Drosophila melanogaster: one gene and its partners. The protein of the gene in region 2 interacts with the protein of the main gene of each other region in a pairwise test. Each region holds a gene or a part of one and is shown on either strand. Other genes may lie near its edges.

Evidence for each region. The genes of interacting proteins can lie anywhere in the genome.
Region 1: the proteins of CG9933 (region 2) and Idh3b interact in a two-hybrid assay, tested with the Drosophila melanogaster proteins (one large-scale study listed by BioGRID).
Region 3: the proteins of CG9933 (region 2) and Acox3 interact in a two-hybrid assay, tested with the Drosophila melanogaster proteins (one large-scale study listed by BioGRID).

Annotation. Positions count from the first base shown.
Region 1 is NT_033777.3:22,014,906-22,022,889, forward strand, and holds Idh3b (isocitrate dehydrogenase 3b), read right to left. Parts: upstream 4,280-7,984; 5' UTR 4,129-4,279; coding exon 4,087-4,128; intron 3,923-4,086; coding exon 3,875-3,922; intron 3,812-3,874; coding exon 3,719-3,811; intron 3,192-3,718; coding exon 3,075-3,191; intron 3,018-3,074; coding exon 2,436-3,017; intron 2,314-2,435; coding exon 2,083-2,313; 3' UTR 1,486-2,082; downstream 1-1,485. Other genes in the region: Theg (testicular haploid expressed gene), read left to right, coding at 1-401, 475-574, 636-855, 922-1,184; mitofilin, read right to left, coding at 4,955-5,132, 5,199-5,487, 5,545-5,703, 5,797-5,817, 5,920-6,615, 6,679-6,827, 6,888-7,361, 7,495-7,724 and 1 more.
Region 2 is NT_033779.5:13,017,849-13,024,677, forward strand, and holds CG9933 (uncharacterized protein), read right to left. Parts: upstream 3,465-6,829; 5' UTR 3,331-3,464; coding exon 2,383-3,330; intron 2,079-2,382; coding exon 1,950-2,078; intron 1,882-1,949; coding exon 1,828-1,881; 3' UTR 1,727-1,827; downstream 1-1,726. Other genes in the region: Ube4B (ubiquitination factor E4B), read right to left, coding at 1-208; CG9932 (uncharacterized protein), read right to left, coding at 5,475-6,829.
Region 3 is NT_033779.5:6,443,585-6,451,435, forward strand, and holds Acox3 (Acyl-CoA oxidase 3), read right to left. Parts: upstream 4,279-7,851; 5' UTR 4,266-4,278; coding exon 4,023-4,265; intron 3,852-4,022; coding exon 3,717-3,851; intron 3,657-3,716; coding exon 3,166-3,656; intron 3,090-3,165; coding exon 2,612-3,089; intron 2,548-2,611; coding exon 2,277-2,547; intron 2,213-2,276; coding exon 2,058-2,212; intron 1,994-2,057; coding exon 1,703-1,993; intron 1,646-1,702; coding exon 1,535-1,645; 3' UTR 1,486-1,534; downstream 1-1,485. Other genes in the region: retm (real-time), read right to left, coding at 6,268-6,548, 7,109-7,430.

The sequences.
Region 1 (7,984 bases), on a different chromosome or scaffold from region 2:
GACTGCTGTCCCATCCGGGACCCCATTCCCTACGATGCCGAGTGCTTCGTTAGGGACATTGGCCAGGAGCTGGACAAACTGACGCGCCGACACGAGCGCATGTTCGTCAAGCGGCGGCGTCTGATGGAAATGGCCATACCCAGGCGACGCACCTGCCGCTTTGTGCCGAAATGCGCCTGCTCATTTCCCAAGTCCATCGAGATGGTGCGACCATGTGACGCCCAGAATCACACACGCACCGAGCAACTAGCTCTGCCCACGGTCCGTCGATTGCTTCACAGGCGGCGAACGGCCATTCTGGCGGGCGACTCAATTGGGGAGTCCATACTGAACAGATGGCTTCGCTACAGCTATCTATCGCTGTACAGTCGTCTCACGAATATCCAGCCGTTGGTTAAGCCGTAAGATAATATATCTATCTATCTTATGTTCATTCATTATTATTTATAAACCCATTATCCTTTGTGCTTGCAGGAAGAAAAAGAAGAAGAAGACGGAGAAGCAGCTGGCTAAGCACGAGAAGTACATCGAAAAGTTGGCGAAACCAAAGAAAGCACCAAAGGTCCCGAAACCGGTAAGTTAAAAAAAAAACTAAATTCAGCTAAAAACTGATGATAATCCCCCATTTCATTTAGGATCGTGGAGCTGGGGAGTTCGATCCCGTGCGTCTCAATCAGCTGGCCAGTCCCAAGGCCTATTTGGAGGAGATCAAACCCAAGTGGGAGCTGACCTCCCAGATGAAGGACTACAAGGCGACCAAGCGGATCAAGCAAATATCGCAGCCCGTCGTGCGCGATAATGTCCACATCAACGAGAATCCGGAGAAGGTCTCGCCCAATGCCCTTCGCTACAAGCGTAAGTACACATACTCCAATTTAGTTGATCTTTTAATAATGCAGCACCTGGCATTGCTTCACTTAGCGAGTGCCCGCATCAAGGAGATGTCCGAGCCACTTACCACGCGCGATGCCAACCAAGGACTGGCGGATGTCAAGGAGAATCCATTCGGTATCGCGCCAAACGCGCTCAAATACAAGGCGAGCACGCGGATCAAGGAGCTGGCGGAGCCCAAGGAGTTCGAGAACACGCATATCCGGGAGAATCCGTTTGCCATATCGCCGGCGGCTCTGAAGGCCAAAGCCTCGCCACGCCTCATCGAGTTGGCCAAGCCCAAGGGTGGATAATAATTGGAGACGGACGTGGACTGTGCGTCTGGATAATCATTACCGTCCTTATTGGTGTTCTAAGTTTTTCATTTCGGCTACATTTGGTATCGACTTTTCTAATAAATTTGTTTTTGGTTTTTTAAAAAACAACTAGAGCTTTTCCGGCTCTTTACGGGATTGGATTTCCTGTGAAAGTGGCGCCGGAGTTGGGAATAGCGATGAAATCTCCTTTGGCCTTTCATTCCAGTCAAAAAAAAGTTTGAGAAATATGTTTGGGTTTTTTTTTTTATCTTTTGTTTGTATTACTTAAAATTTAGACAGCTCGGAACTGACAATGGCTTTTAAATAATAATTAATTTAGATTTGAGTTTATTGTTATCTTTCTCACAGCTCCAGTGGAGTGGGTCCACTCAAAGCCATCCGTTATCAGTTAATTGGTTTAGCAATATCATTTGTTTTCGGTTTTTTTTTTTGTTTTGCTTTTCAACGGGTTAAACATAAAATATAATTCGACCGTAAATTAGCATCTTTGCGAAATCAAAAAGGGGGGGGGGGGGAAATAATACGTAAATAATTACAACATAATCAAGGATCGATGTATTACTGCCAATTGGTAAAACTAAAGAATTCGCAACTTTTGGATTCGGGGCGGGTCTGCAGGCGTTTCAATTGGACTAAACTTAAATATTCGCCGGAAATAATACTCAAATGAATGCACTGAAGACATCGGGACAAATAAAAAAAATTGGACGTAATAGGATAACTAAGAACTTTCAAGGTGTTTCTTTCAACAATTCAAAATTTAGCTGTGGCAACAACAGAAACTGTCTAATGTCGATTATATAAGCGCCAACGTTGTTGCCCATGATGTTGTAGACTTGCTGATCGCGATGCCGGCGATGACAGTGGTGCCCATCTAGGACATGTTCAGGATGATGGCGCGGGTAAAGTCCTGCGTGGTCGATTGTCCGCCCAGATCCTTAGTACGCACCTTGCCATCGTTCAGCACCTTGTTGATGGCATTCTGGATGATCTCGCCGTAGGTGGGCAGGTTGATGTGGCGCAACAGCTTCACGCCGCAGAGCAGCATGGCAGTGGGATTAGCCACGTTCTTGCCCACGGCCTCGGCGAAGGTGTGACGTGCACCCTGCAATCGGAAATCGGTATTAGAGATAAGAATAGTCTGAAGTGGATTCGCACAGCTAGGCTCGAGAACCGTGTAAATCACGATCTTATGGATTATCTTTATGTCTTTATGGCGAATCTTACCGGCTCAAAGACGACGGATTCCGAGGAGTAGGAGGCACCAGCAACGACACCAGCACCGCCCACGAGACCACTGGCCAGATTGTCCACAATGGCACCATAGAGATTGGGGGTGACCATCACGTCGAACTGGTTGGGATTGGAAACCATCTGCATGGTCGTGTTGTCCACGATCATCTTCTCAAACTGGATGCGCGGATAGAGCCGGGAAACCTCTTCGCAGGAGCGTAGGAAGAGACCGTCGCCCAACTTCATGATATTCGCCTTGTGCACGGCGGTGACCTTCTTGCGCTGATTCTTCGTCGCATAGTCGAAGGCGAACTTGGCAATGCGCATGGACTTTTTGGCGGTGATAATCTTCAGGCACTCCACAATGCCGGGCACCGACTCGTGCTCCAACGCCGAATACTCGCCCTCCGTCTGCTCGCGAATAATCACCGTGTCGATGTTGGTGTGGCGGGTCTTGACACCGGGCAAGCTGCGCACATGCACCACATTGGCGTAGAGGTCCAGGTCGTTGCGAAGCTTCATGTTAAGGGTCTGCAGGTCACCCACATTGCTGTAGTCGGGTGTGGCCAAAACGCCCTGAAGGAGCACATTGTTTAGATTTTATCACACTATTTTATTTTCTTGCAAACTTACCTTAATGCACACTTTGTTTTTCTGAATGGATGCCACCACATCCTCCAGTTTGGCACTAAGCACGGGATTGATTTCGGAAAGGAAGTAGCACTCGAAGTCCACGGGAACGCTGGCTGCCTGAACGACAAGATAAGATAATTATGCATATTGATTGGGCTTGAAAAGTTAAAGAATTTACATAGCATTTTTTAATTTAGTCGCACGTATGAACATGTATGTTCAGTTAAAACGGAAATCCCGAAATCTACTAAAATTTTCAAGTAGCAGCCACTTATCACATATCTTTACGATACAGATAAGTTTGATGTTTTGATTTATATAATAAAAACACTCGTGATCGGGAAAAATGGAAGTGTTATCAAATACAATGCGCTCTGTGAAGAGTGAAATATATTAATTAATTTTTAGAGCCCTGTGCTTTTTAAATCTAATAGATTCTAGAAATATGTACATAACTAACTAAACGCCGACTTGCTTAAAAAAAGCTTTTCTATTAAATAGGAAACCAAGCTGGCAATGATCCTAAGCTTAAATAACCTTTTTTTTAAGAGAGATCAAGAGACGCAAGAGTATAGATTTATAAGAATTAGGACGCATTGGAATACTGTATGTGAATGATTGCAACTTGATGGATGGTTAGCTACCTTGAAGACCTCCTGGAGGGAGTAGACCAGCTCGGGACCCACACCGTCGCCGGGAATCAGTGTGCAGGTGGTCCTGTTGGCGCCGTAGTTATCCTGCAAGACCAATTATTTTCCGGTTACAACTGGTGCCACTTAATAAGCGCATTTAACACTCACCGTAGCCCGTAGCGTCGACGTGGTGTGCAGACTACGTGCTGCCGCAGCCTAAAACGAGAAGAATGCAATGTAATCGTTAAGGCTGGCTAGGATTATAACCTCAAAAAAAAAAAAAAGAAACGTATAAGAACTAGGCCTCAGCGCAGAAATATTCGCACAGCGCGTCGCGAGCAAGTGTTTATGTAAGAGCTGCGGTTTGGATGGCCGTTTACCTGCATGAACGTCCGTCCAACTGTTCTCGCCAGCATCGACATTTTGCTATTCGGTTAGCTAGATCTTCCCGGCTGTTGATCCAAACTCAAAAGTGTGTCCTTTGGCCACGCGAAATTTTTGATTGCGATGTGATTTTTGCTCCGGTGCCAAACCGAAAAATTTCAATAGGACCAAATCGACCACGCAAACCAGCTGATTGCCTCTGACTACCAGGGCTGGCGATAGCCGCCCACGAAACTGGCGCGTCCAGTGCTGGCTAACGACCAACTATCGCGATTTTGGCGTTCGAAAATTAGTAACGAACATATACGATTATTTAAGGAATAAATTTGGCGGCAACCGCATAGTAACCTGTTTTTGAATACATTTGCCTTGCCTACCATGCTTTCTTTTCAGAACAGAGAAATTAAATTTAGCCAATGCATTTTATTTGAATTTTGACATTCAGCATACTTTTTAGTCAACTTATTTATTATATTAATTTTTTTCGCTAAATTAAACAACAAGTGGATGTTCTTTATGTTTATTTATGGCCTAATCACATTGTTCTTCAGAAACACAAAGCTTGCCAATTTCAGCTTTAGTAATATATCATATTCCATTCATGCCTTGGTATCGAATTTTTTACAAATCTTCCCAGAGTATTTATGTTTTGGATTTTATAATGATGGTTTCTATGTTTAATTTGTATAATTGAAGCTAAACAAAATGTTACAAATATATGTATATAAGTGCTATTTCGTTTCAACTGTGATCGCTAATTGGACAAATTACATATTGTTGGTAATCGTACCATCTTCTCCTGGACTAATAACAAATAGTAAGTGTATCATCTTGTTTCTGAAGGAAGGGGACACGGGACGTAGTCTACAAATACAATAGTCCGCTGGCAGCGGCGTGAGCCATCAAGGTGTTGGCCGCCTGCTGAGTCTCCAGCATGAGGCGAGCCTCCTTCATCCACTCGCCGGCAATCTTGCGCGATGCACCCTGCAGCAGATTCATGTACTTGAGCGCCTGCAGAAAGTCGCTGCGATCCACATGGTACCTGTGAAACATAATATATATAATATATATTATATAACTCTAGTGATAGATGAATCAATCGCCTCACCTGGCCCTGTTTAGGATATCGTAGGTGTCCAGTTTGCTATAGTCGAAGGGTTTGTTCTCGAGTTCGTCCTTGGATATGGGATTATCGGGTCGCAAGATGAACAGCGATTGCAGATAGGACAGGAAGTAGATGGGCAGGCCGGCTCCTTCCTCGGGCACCAAAGCCAATCGTCGCGCCACGCGCTCCACATTCAGGAAACGCTCGCGCAATGCATCTTCTGGATAGACACCGCGCTCCTGAGCCTCCTTCGGGACGCTTTCCAGCACAGCGGCCACCAGGTCGTCACCCTCTGTAAGCATATGCATTTAGCAACTGAAATCGAAATGTGGGAAACGTTTCAACTTACTAGCCACCTTGGCAATGGCATTGATCTCGTTCTTTAACGGGCGCAACCTATCCTTATAGTGCACGCCAGGAGTGGCAGCGCGCACGGAGGCCCACAGAGCTTGGCAGGCGGCCCAAAGGGCCTGCGCCTGATTGGCAGTACGCTCTGCATCCGCACGCTCTGCAAAAATGTTGCATATAATGTCAATAAACATTTTGATTAAACCAAGAATAAGTTGGTATAAGTACTACCCTTCATATAGGGTGAATATACCTTGAAACTCATCCTCTATCTCTAATATAGCAGCATGTTTTGAAAAGGTTTGAAAACCATTATATATCTAGCCACGCTACACTAGCTACATTCAACCGATATCGTTTAAAACGTATAACTTACCTGCCAGAGCCGCGTCCATTCCGCGCAGCTTGCCGAGCATCCCGGCCAATTGTAACTTATAGTTGGCCTTTTCGGTCGCCAGCTTATCCTCAAGTTCACGCTTAAAGCTTCGCGTCAGATCGGTCTCCCGCTGCGCCACGATGTCCTTTATATGATCGGCGTGGGCCTCTGCTTGCTTTTTGAGCTGCAAGCGCAGCAGCTTATCAGACTCGGCGTGGATGTGGAAGATTTTCTTTTGATTTTCCACGGCCAGTTTGCGCCGCTCGGCCTCCAAATGGTATTCCAGTTGGGCGCGCAAAGCCTCCGAATCGTTGTCACCGCGAACCGAGTCAATAGCTCTCTTCAGGCGCAGCTCACCATCGGTTTGCAAGCGCTGCAGCTCCTTCTGGTAGGCCAGGACATGGGTGTAGGCGTGCAGGATGAACAAGTCTAGGTCCTCCTTTGACAGATTAAGTTTCTTATCCGCCAAACTGAGGCCGGGGAAGATAGACTCGATCTCGTCAATGAAGTAGTTTCGCGCCTTCTCCACATTCCGCCAGTACTTGTCTGACACGCTGGCCGTGTCCTTGTGCCGGTAAAGCTCGTCCTTTACGTTGCCAATGTGGTCCACAAGCTTCTTGATCTTGTCGCGCACTGCCTCTACTTTCTTTGCGTTTTGGGCCGTTGCCGCAGCACTCAGGGCGATCTCGCAGGCGACTGCAGTTGATAGAAGGGAATGTTACTGAAATTTGGAATCTATTTAACAAACAATGGACTTACCAATCTTCTCCTGAGCCTCACGGGCAGCTCGCTCTGCCGTAGCCACTGCCGTATCACGGGCACTTGCTCGATTTTTCAGCGTGGTCCAAAGAGAGTTCTCTCCATTCTCTACGGCCTTGTCTACAACCTTACGGACATCGTCATTAAAGCTGAACGATATTTGATTAAATTTAAAATCACGCAACGAATAGTTAACGAGAATTGCTCACCCTTTCAAAACGCCAATAGCGACGTTGTACTCCTTGACGGCCAGTTGAGCAGACAGCTCGATGGCTTTCTCCAGCTCAACAACATCGCGGGGCAGCGGATTATCCTTAGGCTTGGCAGCGGGCGCAGGCGCTGCTGCTGCTGCTGGCTTCGACACTGGCTTCGCTTCAGTCTTGCTGACTTCGCTTGGTTTTGAGGGTCTCTTTTCCTCAGCAGGAGTGGCCTTCACGGGCTCCACTTTGGACTTCTTGGACTTGTCATCGCCGCTGCCGCCGCCAAACAGGCCCGTCACCTTAGATGTAACGGAGTCCACCGTGGACGTCACTGTCTCGATGCCAGACTTGACCTTATCGATCTGATCGTTGACGTTCTTGGTGATGCCCTTGAATGGCGGTTCCTCCTGCAGAGCCACCTTGATGACGGATCCTGCGCCGGGTACATTCTTCTCCACCAATTTGCGGAAGTCGTCGTCGTATCTGGAAAAGGATTTCTACATTATTCGATGGTTCATTTAAGCATTTCAGGTGCAATAAAATGTGTACGAATTTTTGTTGATCTACAGGTGGACTGCCTATCCTTATCTTAAACCTCTATTGTGGCTCTATTTACTTGGCGTAGGTGATGACACCGCCGACAGCTGCCAGTGGTGAGACGAAGAGGACCACTTTGCCGAAGCCAGCTTCGCGCATATGCGGTGGCAGGCTCTGGTATCCTTGATATCCTTGATCGCCTTGCTGTCCCTGCTCCTCCTGCTGCCGCCTGCCCTGTTCCCGGCCGCCACTTCCGCTGCTGCTTCCGCCGAATTGCCTGTTGTTTGCGGTCGTCTGCTGCAGCGTACGCTGTTGCAATGAAAGGTAATACATTTAGGACCATCACATTTAAGGAAATTGGCAAGCCCGTTGATACCCCCGCGCCCTTGGTCAACTGGAATTTTGGAGCTTTTCGCCCAATTCCTGGGCTTGGTAGATGACATAACCAGCGCCTCTTGTTGTATTTTCGCCAACCGCTTGTTTGTGGGCGCGCGGGGGTGTGGGGCAACGTGACGATCGATTTTCACGTTATCAAATAGCTAGAAATGAATGGGTCAAAAATTCACCTG
Region 2 (6,829 bases):
TGACCACCACAGACTCGGCCGGCTGTTGCGGCTGCACATCGGGGTTGGGTTGCTCAGGCAGTTGCTGACCGGGTATCTCGCCCTGCGCTAACTGGGGCTGCTGATCCTGTTCGTGCTGATCCTGTTCGTGGTCCTGATCCTGATCCTGCTCCTGATCATCATCCTCCTCCTCCTCCATGGGCTTTTGTGGCGGCTCTTCTTCCGGCATTTCTCGGATCCGCTGGTACTCTGGGAAACAATGCGCAGTTGTGCTACCAAATCTGTTTTCGCCTCTCTCACTGTTTTTGTTTGTTTGTGGCGTAGTTTTTCCGCCGCTTCTTCTGATGCTGCTGCAAAATAAGAGGCGATGATGTGGGTTAATGAACCAAACAAAAGCACGCGCACTCGACAAATAAATAAAATAACAAATAAAGAGAAAATTAAAACAAAGTCCAGCGGTCAACGTCAAGTTCACGCGAAGACAATGCCGCCATCGCCAAAACCAGATGGATTGGCCGTTTCTCTTTGTGCTACGCAACTACGCACTAGATGGATGATGTGCAGCATAGCTGGGAGCATACCAGGACAACTGACCTGCCGCACACAGTCAGTGTGCGAATCAAAAGCGGACGCAGATCGGCCGAGGTTGACAAAAAGTGCACGGCTGCAACTATTTTTAGAAGAGGATTTCTCGAGCACTGGCGCTGCACTGCACCCAAAACAAGTGCAGTAAACAATATCATAACATATGCGGAATCGGATGGCGAAACCTTATATAATGTTTAGGGATAGCCGATCGAATAGGATCGGATCGGCACGGGATATCACCAGCTCATTTGCGCATTTGAGACGGCGGATAAAGTACACAAAATCGTGGGATATATAATCGGACATAGGTTCGATGTGAGGGTGTGTGAAATACGGAAAATCGAGGATTGCGCCGCACATATATTCGCACTTACCTGACTCTACGGACCGACTTTCACCTGCTGCAAAACGTATTGGTTGTGCTACGGCCCGTAACTATTGCATTTTACGGAACTCTATATGGTTTCGACAATTCACCCGAACAATTCCACGTCTGGTGGTGACCACGCAAAAAATTTCTCTTTTGTTCTGCGAGCTTCGTGGGGATTGGTTATCGGCCCTCGGCTGGCTATATCTATGTGGGGATCGCCCGAATGCGATCCGTATATCGACACAAATGCTTCACTGGCCAGGCGATGGGCTCAAGAAATACAGACCTCCGAACTTTCCTCCAATTGAATTACTTATAATTTTTGGGTTTCGCGTCAGTCGACGAACAGTGTTTCAGTTTGGTCTGGTGGCCGACAGTCACACTGGCCGCGGCGTGGTCACACTTAAAGATGGAATGTTCGCCGATAGTTGCTTTAACCCTTGCAGGGCCCTCATATTTTTATGATTTCATTATCGAATTTAAAATTTCGTTAAACATCCGAAAAGTTGTGAATCATTTGAATACTATTTGTAATTTTAAATTTGCACTTTTGTTTTTGCCTTTAATTGCAATAATGTTCTCTAAGCATCTATACCCAATTTATATATCCTTTTTGCTCTAAGAGAACTAGTTTGAAAATATCTGAAACTATTGTTTGTTTGTCGTTTGAAAATATTTAAATATCGCTGAATTACTAGGTGCGAACTGATTAACGATGGGAAATCAAAAATTAGGCCTACCAAAATGGTTATATTCCTCATGACACATAATGAAAAGCAAGTGTTGTTTAGTTATTTTTGTTCAACAAAAGAAAATCATTTACTTCATTTTACAAAAATGTTACAATTATGTGGAACCTAATTATGAACCTAATACCTAAGTAACCGCTACTAGAAATCCGTGTATCGCTGTCGCAGACTCTGCCTTTTGGCAACGTGATGCATCTGCAAAACACAAGCATTTGAATTACAAACTGGCATTATATGTGGTTTTAATTAGGATAAGGACTAACCAAGCGCTGCTGACGTCGTTCTCGATTCATTTCGTAGGCCTTGAGCAGCGAGGGGCACGTGCGCTTGATGAACTCCTCCGATTGCCAGAAGAGTCCGCCTTGGTTCTCGTAGCGCAGAAGGAATTCAACCTGCAAGGATATTAAGGTTATTAAATGATACCTACAATTGGGATAGAGGGCAAACTACATAAGATTCAGACTGTTTAAAAGTTTTCCTTCGCTTTACAAAGTAAAGAAAGCTGATCTTTGGCTTATTTATTTTGTAAAAGCAAAAGTCATATAGCAAACCTTTTCCAGCTTAGAATTTTTGTTTACTAAATATGATATGAATAAACCAACAATGTGTTGTAAATGAAACTGTAATCGAATTCATAGAAAATTTGTGAACCCTAAACCGTACTGATAGTTTATTGCTTTCGTATTGCAAACGTACCTTTCCCGCCTTGGTCTCCTTGCCCAGAATGCGTTCAATGCCATTCTCGGGCTTGATGCGTCTGAAGAAGTCCTCGTCGTTGTACTCGGTGACCACCTCCTCGCCGACTTCGTTTAGCATATCCTCGATGCTGAGCAGTCCATCCTGCAGCCGCTCGCCGTTCTGTTCGACGCGCTGCACGTATGTCAACGGGTGCTGCTTGAGGTAATCCTCCGCCTCGGCGATTGTCTTGGCCAGATCGAACTCCTCCTCCGCCTCCTCCTGCTCATCGTCATCGTTGTCCTCGTACTCACCGTCCAGCTCCATGCCATCACAGTTAGCGCCGCTGGGCGAGGAGGTTCGTTTGGTATGCATGGAGCGTCGCTTTCTTTTCATCCAGTTCCCGCCGTCGTTTTCCTTGACGTCCGGATGGAAGCGTACCTTCTTCACGCGCACGGACGACGAGGCGGAATCTGTTGTTTCGGGGGTGGACTGGCTGGGTGTCTGCTGCGACTCCAGCATGCTGCCGCTGATGCTACTAGAGGCGGACGTGGGTGTTGATGTGGATGTGGATGCTGATACGGAGGCGCCGGTGCTCTCCGCCAGCGTGGTTTCCTTGAGGTTCTGTGATATAAGCTTGACTTTCGTCTCGAAGGCAGTGCATGGAGATGTGGGCGATTTGCTGGCCGGATGTTCTGGTGGGGATTGACTGCTCTGCGGACTGTCGCCCTCGCCGCACGACCCCGCCGCAGCTTCAGTCTTGTGATCCGTCTGCTTGCCGGCTCCCTCCATCGAACCGGATTCCTTGTTAATCGATTCCGCAGCGGAATCCCTGCTGCAGTTGTCCAGATCTCCGACTGTGGAGTCTCCGTCGCCCGTCGTCGTTGTCTCCACCATCACACACTTGATTTGCATAGATTTGTCCAGCGAGTCACTGCCAGCCGAGTCATCATTGGACTTGGTATCCATGTGTTTGGGTGGCTCCGTGTTCTCTGCGTTGGCTCTCTATCGTTTTGCGGCTCTGCTAAAGTTCAATTTTAGCTAAATGCATCGCAATTCATTTGTAATCTTTCAACAAAACGGCTTTCTCAGTGTTACCGTACCGACAACTATGAAATATACCCTCAAATTTGCGTAGCTGACTTGGCAGCGATTGTGAAACGATTGGAATTGCAACAGGGAGCTAAATAGTATATATGATTTTATATTTTCTTTGGCTCTTTTGATTATTTGGAGAGTTATTATTTAAGTATCTCAGTAAGAGTAATCTGGAATAGCATTGCATATCCCTTTTTGATTATTATTATTTTTTCTTTAATTAAAAGAAAAAGAGTAAAATAATCTTTTGTTCCACATTCAATCGTTTCACAGAGTTGCCGTATCTTGAAAGTCACTTTTAAATTGATATACCGCTATACCGTTACGCAGGCTACCTTTCAAATTAAAATTCCGTTAAAAAAGAATGCTTGATTTTGATGTTTGATTTCAGTAAAGAAAAAAGAAAAATGTTGAAGTGCTTTCAATTTAATAGAAGTCAATGAACTATTTTGCATTATGATTTGAATTTTTAGAAACTACTTTTGGCGTTTAGATCTGAACCCAATTATTCGATTTCTTTTTTAAATAGAAGTACCAAACATACAGATAATCGGTCAATTGTAAATGCAACTTGTGTTGTTTTTATTTGATTTCTTTATTAACAATTGTTTTTGTACATTTTCTCTTTTGTAATTCAATGCCGTAAATCTTATTGTGTGTTTGTGTGGTGTGTGTAAGTGTTGCGTGTGGTTGTGTGCGCAGTAAACAAAACTAAGTTATTTACACTAGCTTTAAGTTTAAATGTAGTTCAATGTTAAGGACTATTTAATATATAATATATTGTGTGTATAGATATTCGTATCGATATAAGATGTATATATGCATATCAAAGGCGGTTTGCATTTATATCCAAGTTAGATTCTGTATACATATCGCTTGTTTGCGCTATATCTTCTGGTTTTGATTTGCTTTGTTTTCAAATGTTTCCTTGCATTAAGTTTAAACTATTTAAATATGGCCCCGCTATTCCACATGTGTTCTTTTTGTTTGCTTATAGTTTAATGATAACATTTTGTTTGTAGTGTTAACGCCTACACTGTGCTACAAAGACGCCGTTTGCTGGAAAACATTCGCACTAATGATGAGAACATAACTAATCCGTAGTAGAAACTAATTACTATTAACTAATTTTAAATGTGTGCTGCACTTGTACAAAATAATATTGCAAATATTGCAAAAAATTCCCTATTCTCTGTTGATTTTTCAATTGCATTTTAAATGTGTTTCTTTTTGTTTCTATAGTTTTTATTTTTGCAGCAGCTGTGTGTAAATATATATATATGTATAGATTTATATAGTATGTATATAGTACCATATTCATTGCATGATATACGCGCTCACTTTCTTATTTCTTTTTTTTTTTGCATTTACAATTATCAATAATCACAGTTCCCATTCGAAAAATTAAACGAATTATTTGTAGCAAGACATAATTTTGAATTTATCTCTTTTTCTCCTGTACAAAGTTGATTTCCTTGAAACGCTTTTGGATCTTGCTCGGATTGGGTTGGTTTTCCAATTTAATATATTAAGCCGATGGTAAATATATATATATAGGTTCTATATTAAAATGCCTTCTATAGTTATCTCTTTGATAAGTTACAATACGATTAGTTTAAATTACATTTTGCACCGTTCTAGCAAGTAATTACATTAAGAATTCCGGCTTATCCCATTTGCAAAGTATTCGAATAATGGTATTTCATTCCTTTTTTGTTTATAAATTATCGTTACTTAATTACCTTAGGTTCTAGAAAAAACGTAAAAGTGCAGGAACATGTTCCAACTAGGTGTGTATAAGTGGGTGTGTGTTAGTGACAATAGAAATCCCAAAACAGGTGCCTAAAACGAATCCCCAACTCCACTAACGCATACCCAAAAAAAAATATGGAAAAGCATAAGCAACAACAAAATATTAACAAAACCAAAACTCACTTAAATCGAAAAATAACCATAAGCTTAGTTGGATAAATTATGGATTAAATTAAATAAAAGGTTCGACCCTTGGATGTGGCCTACTTTCTGGAAATGACTTTGCCCGTCTGGGCATTGACCAGTATCATTTTTTCCGGTGTTGCGGGTCGCTCCTGGCCGGAGGTGGAAGTGGCGTCCTCCGACTGGTTGGCACTTCCCCGAAGGATCCTTCTGCGCAGGCGATCGCTGATATTCTCGCTCTTCTGGGACTCTGAATTGGCGCCCTCATCCTGGGAGAGCTTCACACTCAAGCCGCCATCGTTCTTGTACAGAATCAACTTTGTGCTGGACTTTTTGGCCGACGACTCCTCCATTCCCTCGACAGCTGGCTGTTCATCTGGGCCGCTGCTGCTTGGCTGCTGTTGCTGCTGCTGCTGCACATTGGCGTTCATCACATTGTCCTGGTTGTTGTTGTGCTCGGTCTGCTCCACCTTTGAGTCAGCGGTTTCTTCCGGTTCCCGCTCAACGCTGATCTCCAGCTGATCGTAGCAGGTAAAGAACTCCACGGACTTGAGCTTCTCACCAGCATTGAAATGCAGCGCCGTGTGCTCCTCCATTTCCGCCTCCTCATTGGCATTGTAATCACAATGGGCACATTTCTGGCAGTTCGGAGGTGGAGGATTTACGCAGGCGTGCTTCTGTAGATGCTGCATCAGCTCCTCGTGCTGCTGCGTCTCGAATGGACAGTGGAGGCAGCGTTCCGGTGCCGGAATGGACTGGGGCATGTCAACGGATCCTGCATCACTGCTGCCATCTGCGGCCAAATCACTGGTGGCCACCGAAGCGCTGGTCGACGGTGTGGAGCTGCTATGTCGCTCCTCGTCCTCCTCGGGGACTTCCGCCTCGTTTTTGTTAACGGATACTTTCAGGGGAAGTGGGACCATCTGACCACCGCCCGATTCCAGCTGCTTCTTGAGCAGAGAGTTCTGGTTGTCAAACCCACCGGTGGAGGTACTAACTGCACCGCCGGTAGTCTGCTGCAGCAGTTGCAAGCTCAATTCGTTATCCACCACCCAAATGGTTTCGGGACCAGTCAGCTGCAGCAACTTGGGTGCCGGATACTCGACATCCTCCTTGCAGTTCCTATAGAGCTCCTGGCACTTTTCCTGGTAGTGGGACATGTGCACCGCACGGTGCAGTTGGAGCATAGTCTCCTCCGACGTACGATACTCACAATAGGCGCAGACATAGCTCGGATCCTGATCCTCCGGCTCCTGATCGCTGTGGGCCAGCAAATGCTGCTCTAGCTCTTGCTTGGCATTGCGCTCGTCATTGTGCTTCTGGGCAAAGCGAGCCGGACACCTGGGACAGTAACTAATCAGCTTGTACTGGTACTCCGGCGGCAGTTGCTGTGGATTGAGCTCCGCATCGGAGGCGGCATCCATCTGGATCTGGG
Region 3 (7,851 bases), 6.6 Mb from region 2:
AATTGTTCAGGCTTATTCCGGTGCCAATTCGAAATGAAGATCGGATAATAATGGTGCATACAACGTCCGAATATTTAATTTATAATTTTGAGATAGATTCCTATCACATAATGACGGAAGCCACATTAAATCAATGTCAGAAATGGCAACTAAATAAGAGAATATGCAAAGGAAGTTGGCCCTGGAATTCAGCGAATGATAATGCATGTGAGATTCAGCCTCTAAAGCCAGATAAAGCGGCGAACTGCATCTATAAAACAGTAGTCGACTCTAAAAGTTACTGGGTAGAGTTAGAAAAGAAAAGTAGTTGGTTGTTTAAGGTTCCTGCGAATTCAAAAGTCCGTCTGCAATGTACTGGCTCTCAAATTGAATTGTTTGATTTGCCTCAGCAAGGAGTTTTAAGCATTGCGCCATATTGTACGGCAAGAACCGACGATAAAATTCTAGTTGCCCACCATAACATTCAGTCCGAAAGTGAAGAATTATTATCAACACCTTATATAGGAGAAATTAGTGAAGCGCCGAAGATTATTTGGGATCCGCTGAAACTATCAATATTAAATCATACTGAGGAATTTGAACGATTGAATAATGAAATTAAATTTATGAAAGAGAACCATCAAAAATTGAAAGATTTACATTTCCATCATATTTCCGGACATGCTGGATTAATTATTGCTTTAATACTAATGATAGTATTAATAATATATTTCATACGGAAATGTGCTGTGCAACAAAGAATGCAAGCAATAACCTTTGCAGGTCCGTTGCCAGTACTATAAATATCAATAGTAAATAAACAATAAAATAATATAACAAATAAAAATATACAGTCCACTATATCGTTGTTTAATAGAAAATGTACTTCTACATAGAAAAAGCAAAATGTTTAAAATAAGTTAATTGAGTACAAATTGTTGAATTAAAAATAATATAAACCATAATTGTAATCCAATAAAATTAAAAGCCAGAAAAACTAGGCCCATTGAAATCTTAGTTGCAAAATAAATGAACATATATCAAATAAATACAGTCCACTACTGTTATAAATGCAACTAATATACTAATGTACATCTCAGCTTGCTGGCCCTTTGGCAGAATGTTCACACATGAACACGAATATATTTAAAGACTTACAATTTTGGGCTCCGTTCATATCTTATGTAAATGAATCGAGAGCGATAAATTATATTTAGGATTTTGTTATCTAAGGCGACATGGGTGCATTGCTCAAAAACATGTAATTTAAGTGCACACTACATGAGTCAGTCACTTGAGATCGTTCCCCGCCTCCTAAAATAGTCCCTTAGTGGGAGACCACAGATAAGGTCCTCGCCGCTCAAGATAGGCAGATGTGCCCGAGCGTGGGACCTCGATAAGGCGGGGACTATTTACTTAGGCCTCTGCGTAGGCCATTTACTTTAAGATGCGATTCTCATGTCACCTATTTAAACCGAAGATATTTCCAAATAAAATCAGTTTCTTACAAAAACTCAACGAGTAAAGTCTTCTTATTTGGGATTTTACAGTGAGTCTACAATTTGGCGCGCTTAAGGTAATCCTTGTAGGTAACATCACGCCACCAATGAGGACGCTCGTAGACACCTGGAGTGGAGACAAGCGTGCGCTGCAGATGCTGGTAGACCTGCGAAAGGATAGAATCTTTAGTAAGAGTAGCAGTTGCTTATGGTAGACCACTTACGTTTCCATCGCTCATGCCCAGAGGAGAGTTTAGAATAAAGTCTGTGGGAGCAATGGCATCCACCAGAGCAATGGCTTCGTTCTTCAGCAGGGGAAGCAGAGCCAGAATGCCCTGTTCGTACAGCTCCAGTTGGTTAGAGTTTTCGCGGAAGTAACCACCGCGGTAGAAAGCAGCGGAGTACTTTGTGACCAAGTGGGCGCCATAGAAGGAGAGCACCTGCTGCAGTACCTTCTTCTCAGCAGAGTCGGGCAGACCAATTACAAACTTATAAAACACGTAGTAGATGGTGCGCTAAAAGAATATTAAACTTGGTTATTTTACTATTTAGTTGGGGTTTAGAGGGTTGGCATCTCACCTCGCCGTAGATAATGGAGAGCTTCTGGGCGGCAAAGACCTGGATGTTGTTCCTCGTCTCAAAGGCATCCTTTCCTTCGCGCTGCTGTTCCTCAACTCGTTTCACCGTCGTATCCAGTTGCCAGACGGTAAGCCAGTTGAGGGCATTAAGTAGATCTATAGAAGTGCAATAAAATTGCGTTATTCCTATCTTATATTTGGATAACTAAGAAATACTCACTGAGCGGATCCAAAACTTCGGCAGGAGTTCGCTCCTGACCCTTGCTTTGCAGAATTGTGTCCATATCCTTCAGGAAGGAGACTGTCTCCAATGGGGAAACTGCCACGAAGTCGGCATTGTTGCGTTGCAGACTGATCAACCAATTGGACGCTTGCTGGATGAGCGTGTTGTTCTCGCCCTCATAGGTGCAGTTGGCATCGTTGTCGTTGCGAAGTTCGCCCAAGCCAGAAGATTTAAGATAGCCATGACCGCCACAGGCCTCGCGGCATTCCTGAGATTAAAACAATATAACCGATAAGTAAAAGTGGTTATATACATATATAAAGCATTCATACCTGGATGCCATCCCTGGCAGCCCAAGTGGCAACTGGTTTGAGTGCCGATGAGATCGCATGGATCTCCATGCCCGCTTGCGACGTGTCCTCGCCAGTGAAGCCCTTCATGGTCAAATCCACGTTCTCTTTGCCTATCCAGAGTGTGGCCACCCGCAAGGCGATTGTGGTGGCCAAGTGGGGAATTAGTCGGTATTGCTGTGACTGATACTCGATCACGGGCCACTCCGCCGGGCTGTTGGTAGGGCCAAACTGGCGTCTGCTGGCCGCATAGCGAGTGGCAATTGTCACAGCCTTGCTCAAGGCCACATACGTGATAGCAGTGATATTGACGCGACCCACGGAGAGGGCACCCAAGGAGGCGCCAAGGCGCTTACGCTCGTCCTTAATTTTACTGGTGTAGTTTCCCTGCGCATCGATGTCACCGGTCTTGGACAGCAGATTTGCCTTAGGGATACGATACTGGTTGAACATCACAAATCTGCAATGCCAAACAAATCGAAATTATTTCTGTTGCTGTTGATTAGTTTTATCAACTGATAGAAGAAAGTACTTGCCCGTTATCAATGCCATTGAGACCGATCTTTTCGCCCATATCGCCGACGGTTACGCCGGGGAATGGAAGCAATGTACGCTCGTCCCGAATGGGAACAAGGAAGGCCTGCAGGCCCTGGTGCTTGTCATCCGGCACGTACAGCTGGGCGTAGACGATTGCGTGCGTGCAAGTCTTGCCTAGATTACCGACCCAACACTTGGCCGCCTCGAAGTCTGGCGTGTGGATGATAAACTCCTGCCTTTTCACATCGTAGGTGGCACGGGTGCGCATGCCGAGCGCGTTGGTGCCGTGAGAAATCTCAGTGAGAGCGTAGGCGCCCAAAATGCGGTTGTCCGCGATCTTGGCCACGTACTTGCCCAGGCGGCCAGATCCGTTGGAGACCAGCGTGCTGGGGAACATGCCAGTTGAAAGGCCGAACTTGACCGAAGTGCTGAAATCGTAGCTAAAGATGGCCTGTCCGAAAGCAAGCAGAAGATGTGGGGTTCCAAGATACTGAAAGAAAGACAGGAGATTTAGGCAGCCACACTTTCAGGAGTACGCAACGCATCCTACCTCGTTGACGCCGTAGAACTGTTGCTCCCACAGAAGATGCTGCCGCTTGTTGGCCATTTCGCGGGTGCGTTCCAAATCGGATCCTGGCTCCCGCTGGTAGTCGGGGTGCTGTTCCATCCATTGCCACACCTTGTGCTAAAGACGGAGTGACATGTAAACGAATTACTCAAGTGTGCAGATAAGAAACGGGCGACGATTAGACCGGGCGGTTGGCGGCCTGCAGCTCCGACAAAAGCTATCGAGGCAGTCTGCACTTCGACCCCGCTGACCATGTACATATGTAACAAACTGGAAATGGTAACGAACCTTCAGCCGTATGTGATCCTCGCCCTCGAGCACCACGTTCATGCGCTTGTAGCAGAAGCTAGCCCGCTCACGGTACTCTTCCAAAGGTCCGCTACGGAAGTCGGGAAAGATCCGTTTGTCATCGTAGATGTTGGCTGCAGCCTTCTCCTCCCGGCGGCCGCTGTAATAGTCGCCCAGTGCGGTTAGTAATGAGTTCAGACCGTTTTGGTCACCACCATCGCCATCGCCTACTCCGCTCGCCATTGCCCAGAGAACTGGCTCTTGTTGGAATGTTGGATTGGTGGACGTTGTGGTCGTCAGTCGAGGCGATGGGGCTGTGGGGCAGGGGTACTTACTTTGTGCTCAATGCAACCATGTTGGAGTTCGATTCTAGCGACTGGTCTGGCTGCTTCGAATGCTAGGCGCGAAATGCTTGAAAGTCCAGGCACTCGTAACTATTATTGGTAAAATAGCCAATGTCCAATGGCCAGCGGCGATAAGAAGGAATCCGCTTATCCGCACTTCATGGCCAAGTAGCCTTTTAGTGGTTTGCATCCGCCGCGGATAAGATACGGGCCCTAGGAGAATGCGGGATTAGGGCGGCCCGTGCAGGTGGTGGTGGGTGCTGCCTGCGAAATTCGAATCTTTTAGCGGCCACAAACATTGCTTTAATTTCCTATCAGCCATCAGCCAACAACAAGCGCGATAAACAAACAATTTTAACCCAGTTTTTCACCATTGAAGATAACATAGTTTGACGTGACTTAAGCCATGAGAAAGAACGGTGTTATATAAATACAAAATGTGAAGTTTTTTAAATTCTGTTAATTATTATATAATATAATTATTTAATTATTATACATAATATACATAAATTTCATGTTTAATTTTCTTTAATATCACAATTCAATGTTTTCACAAAATGTTTTAGCGGGGGCGTTGCCAGACCTTCTCAAGGTAGCCAGGGCTGGAATAGTAGGTCTGGCGCGTAATTTGAATATTCTTTCTATCAGAAACGAGTCATTTGCTGGTCTAATTTTATCTATTTTGTTATATAAAAACATTACAATATATATAAAAACATTACAATCCACATTTAAAATATGAAAAGAGCATCCATATCCATACCATACAATTTTCATGGATTCTAAATTTGATTTTAATTAAAACTGTTGAATAGTTTATTTTTTTCAAGAGCCCACAATAAAATGCGAATATGTACATGTAATTGATCTAATAGCATTTATTTGATTACGTTCTTAATACAACTTACACACTTAGTTAACATGCACTCATTTTTCCTTCGTTATTGGCTTGTCAGTTTATTCTTACAATACACGTCAGATTATTTATAAAACTAAATTGTAAACATCCGCATAGTAATTCGTTTTTAATACAATAAATAATAACCAAAAAAACACACTGAAGTTGCCTTTTTTGATTTTAAAAACACTTTGGAGATTGATTGATATTAGCAATTAAGGGCGTACAAATGACGGGGTAATTAGTGTGCAATCAAAAACGTTCTGCATTCGAATGTTTAAAATACAATTTTACATTTATAATTATAATCTGACGTCTAGCTATAACCTACGTGTGTATTTCGAGTTCAAATCTTACATTTCACTCTTTTGTATAAGTTCTGGCTAAAATCCTTGCAATAAGCCATTTCGGCAATTTGTTTATTAAACTAATTAGGTAACACGTAGTTATTGATTACAATTTCAATTTTTTCTATTTTCGTTTCAGTGGCTGCGCAATCGCAATAAGTTCCTTAATTGTTGCTAAAAAATGTTCCATTAGAAAAAGCTATAAAAATTACGTCGCTTTTACATATATATGTACGCATTAAAACTTCATTTATAGAGCTGCTTACGAAAAATTCAAATTGACGATTCAAATAAAACGTTGCGTGATATTTTGGTGTTGCTCATTTAAACCGCTGATATTTCTAATTTTCTTAAGATTATCAATAATATGAATGCTTGTATATATTGAATGAATATAATAAATTTAAAAGGAAATAAATGGCCTATTTGAGCTAAATACAATTTAAAATCAAACTAACATTCTGCTAAACAACTAAAGACAACTAAAACACAAGATATTACCACTTTCGGTCTTAAAAGAATACGTCCGGCGTTTCAAATAGATTCAGGCTCTTCTCCATCAGGGTGCCCGTGAGAATGTCCGCCGCTATGGGCTCCTCCAATGCCGGGGATCTCCATTCGGCGCCGTTCGTTCCGCCATCCCCGGCTTTCTCATATCATCGACTCTGCACCGAGCTGGCCGCCGACGAGTTCGATGAGAATGCCGACTGCAGGCTGGTCATCGAACCCTTGTAGTTGGCCGAGCTGAGCACCTCGTAGAAGACGTTTAACTGGGCACCCGATGGACTAAACCAGTGCATAAGATAGCTGTCGTTGTGATGCATCACGTGCGACCCCTGGACGCTCTCCTTGTGCCGGCAAATCAGCGTTGGCTCCTCACGGAAATAATTGACGCCCTCGACGAAGTCCTGCAGATCAAAGTACGAGACGGCGGAATCTGTGGGCGAAGGGCATTTAATTATATGTAAGCTGTCAAGCTAATCAAGTTAATTAATTAAAAGGTTCAAAGTACAAAAAGCTTTATAAAATAAGGTTCAACTTTTTCGTATTTTACTACATTATCAAAACACATATGAAAAGCAATCCCTATCAATAAACCGGAACCAAAATGCGCGCGTTATCAATTTAATAGAGCCCTAGCAACAGATACCTTGGAAATTTATATAAATAAATATATACACAAATTAACATACGTTTTAATACTTAATTGTAATAGTAAACTATTCAATTTAAGCCAAACGTTATTAATTTGTTTTTAAGTTGCCTGACAACAAATTTTCTTTTCTTTTCGAAAGGGTGTAAGAGTTTCCACTTTCCGCATTTTTCGCTTTTTATCGTGGCTTTGTGTTTTTATAAAAGTGCTAAGTAAACAAAAACAACTTCTAATGAGGCAACAACATCGTGATATTCGCACCTTTGAAACCAAAACCAGTTCTCAGAACAAAAGAAAAACAAAAAGCAACATGAAAACCTTTTGTAAGTGCATTATTAACTCACCATTCTTTTCCGGAAGCTCCTGGGTGACCCGGTAGAGCGTAAAGTGCAGATCGTTGCGCATCACATCGAAGTCCCAGGTGAGCACACTCTTGGGATCCTCGTTCCGGATGAGCAGCTCGTGCGCGAATCCGGCCTTGAGATCCACACTCTTGTACAGATTGCGATGATCGTGTTGCTGGTTGGCAGACAGGCGCTTGCCTGGAACCAAAGCCTGTGCCGCGGCAGTGGTGGGCAGCTCGGCGGTCACTTCGTCGTCGTGATCCTCCAGCGAATTCATCTTGTACAACGTCTTAGGCACCAGTCCGCCCTCGTGAATCATGGTCTTTGTGGAAAGAGGACAATACGTTAGAGCAGTTTCTGGTGGGCAGGCTCCGTGGCTGTTGGCTTGGACTGAGCACATGTATGACAGCCGCCGGGTGAACAGAGAGATTAAGTGACGTGGACATGGACGCTGGGGCACAATGGAGGAAATATTACAGCAGGAATGTCATGGCTAAGCTGCGCACATGGGCTTGACACAGTTTGCAACAGAACCGCACAGCGAACAAAGTGTGAGAAACAAAAACGAGGAAGTAAGACAAAGGCGGACGAGTACAGTACAATTTGTCGTTGTGGATGGTGACAAACGAAATCGAGAGCAGGAGCAAAAGAACAAGAGAGTAGGATGCTTACACAATCGCATTTGGTTAAATAACAATGGCTAAAGTATTTCTGACTGACTTGCTCCACATGCGAGACTAGCT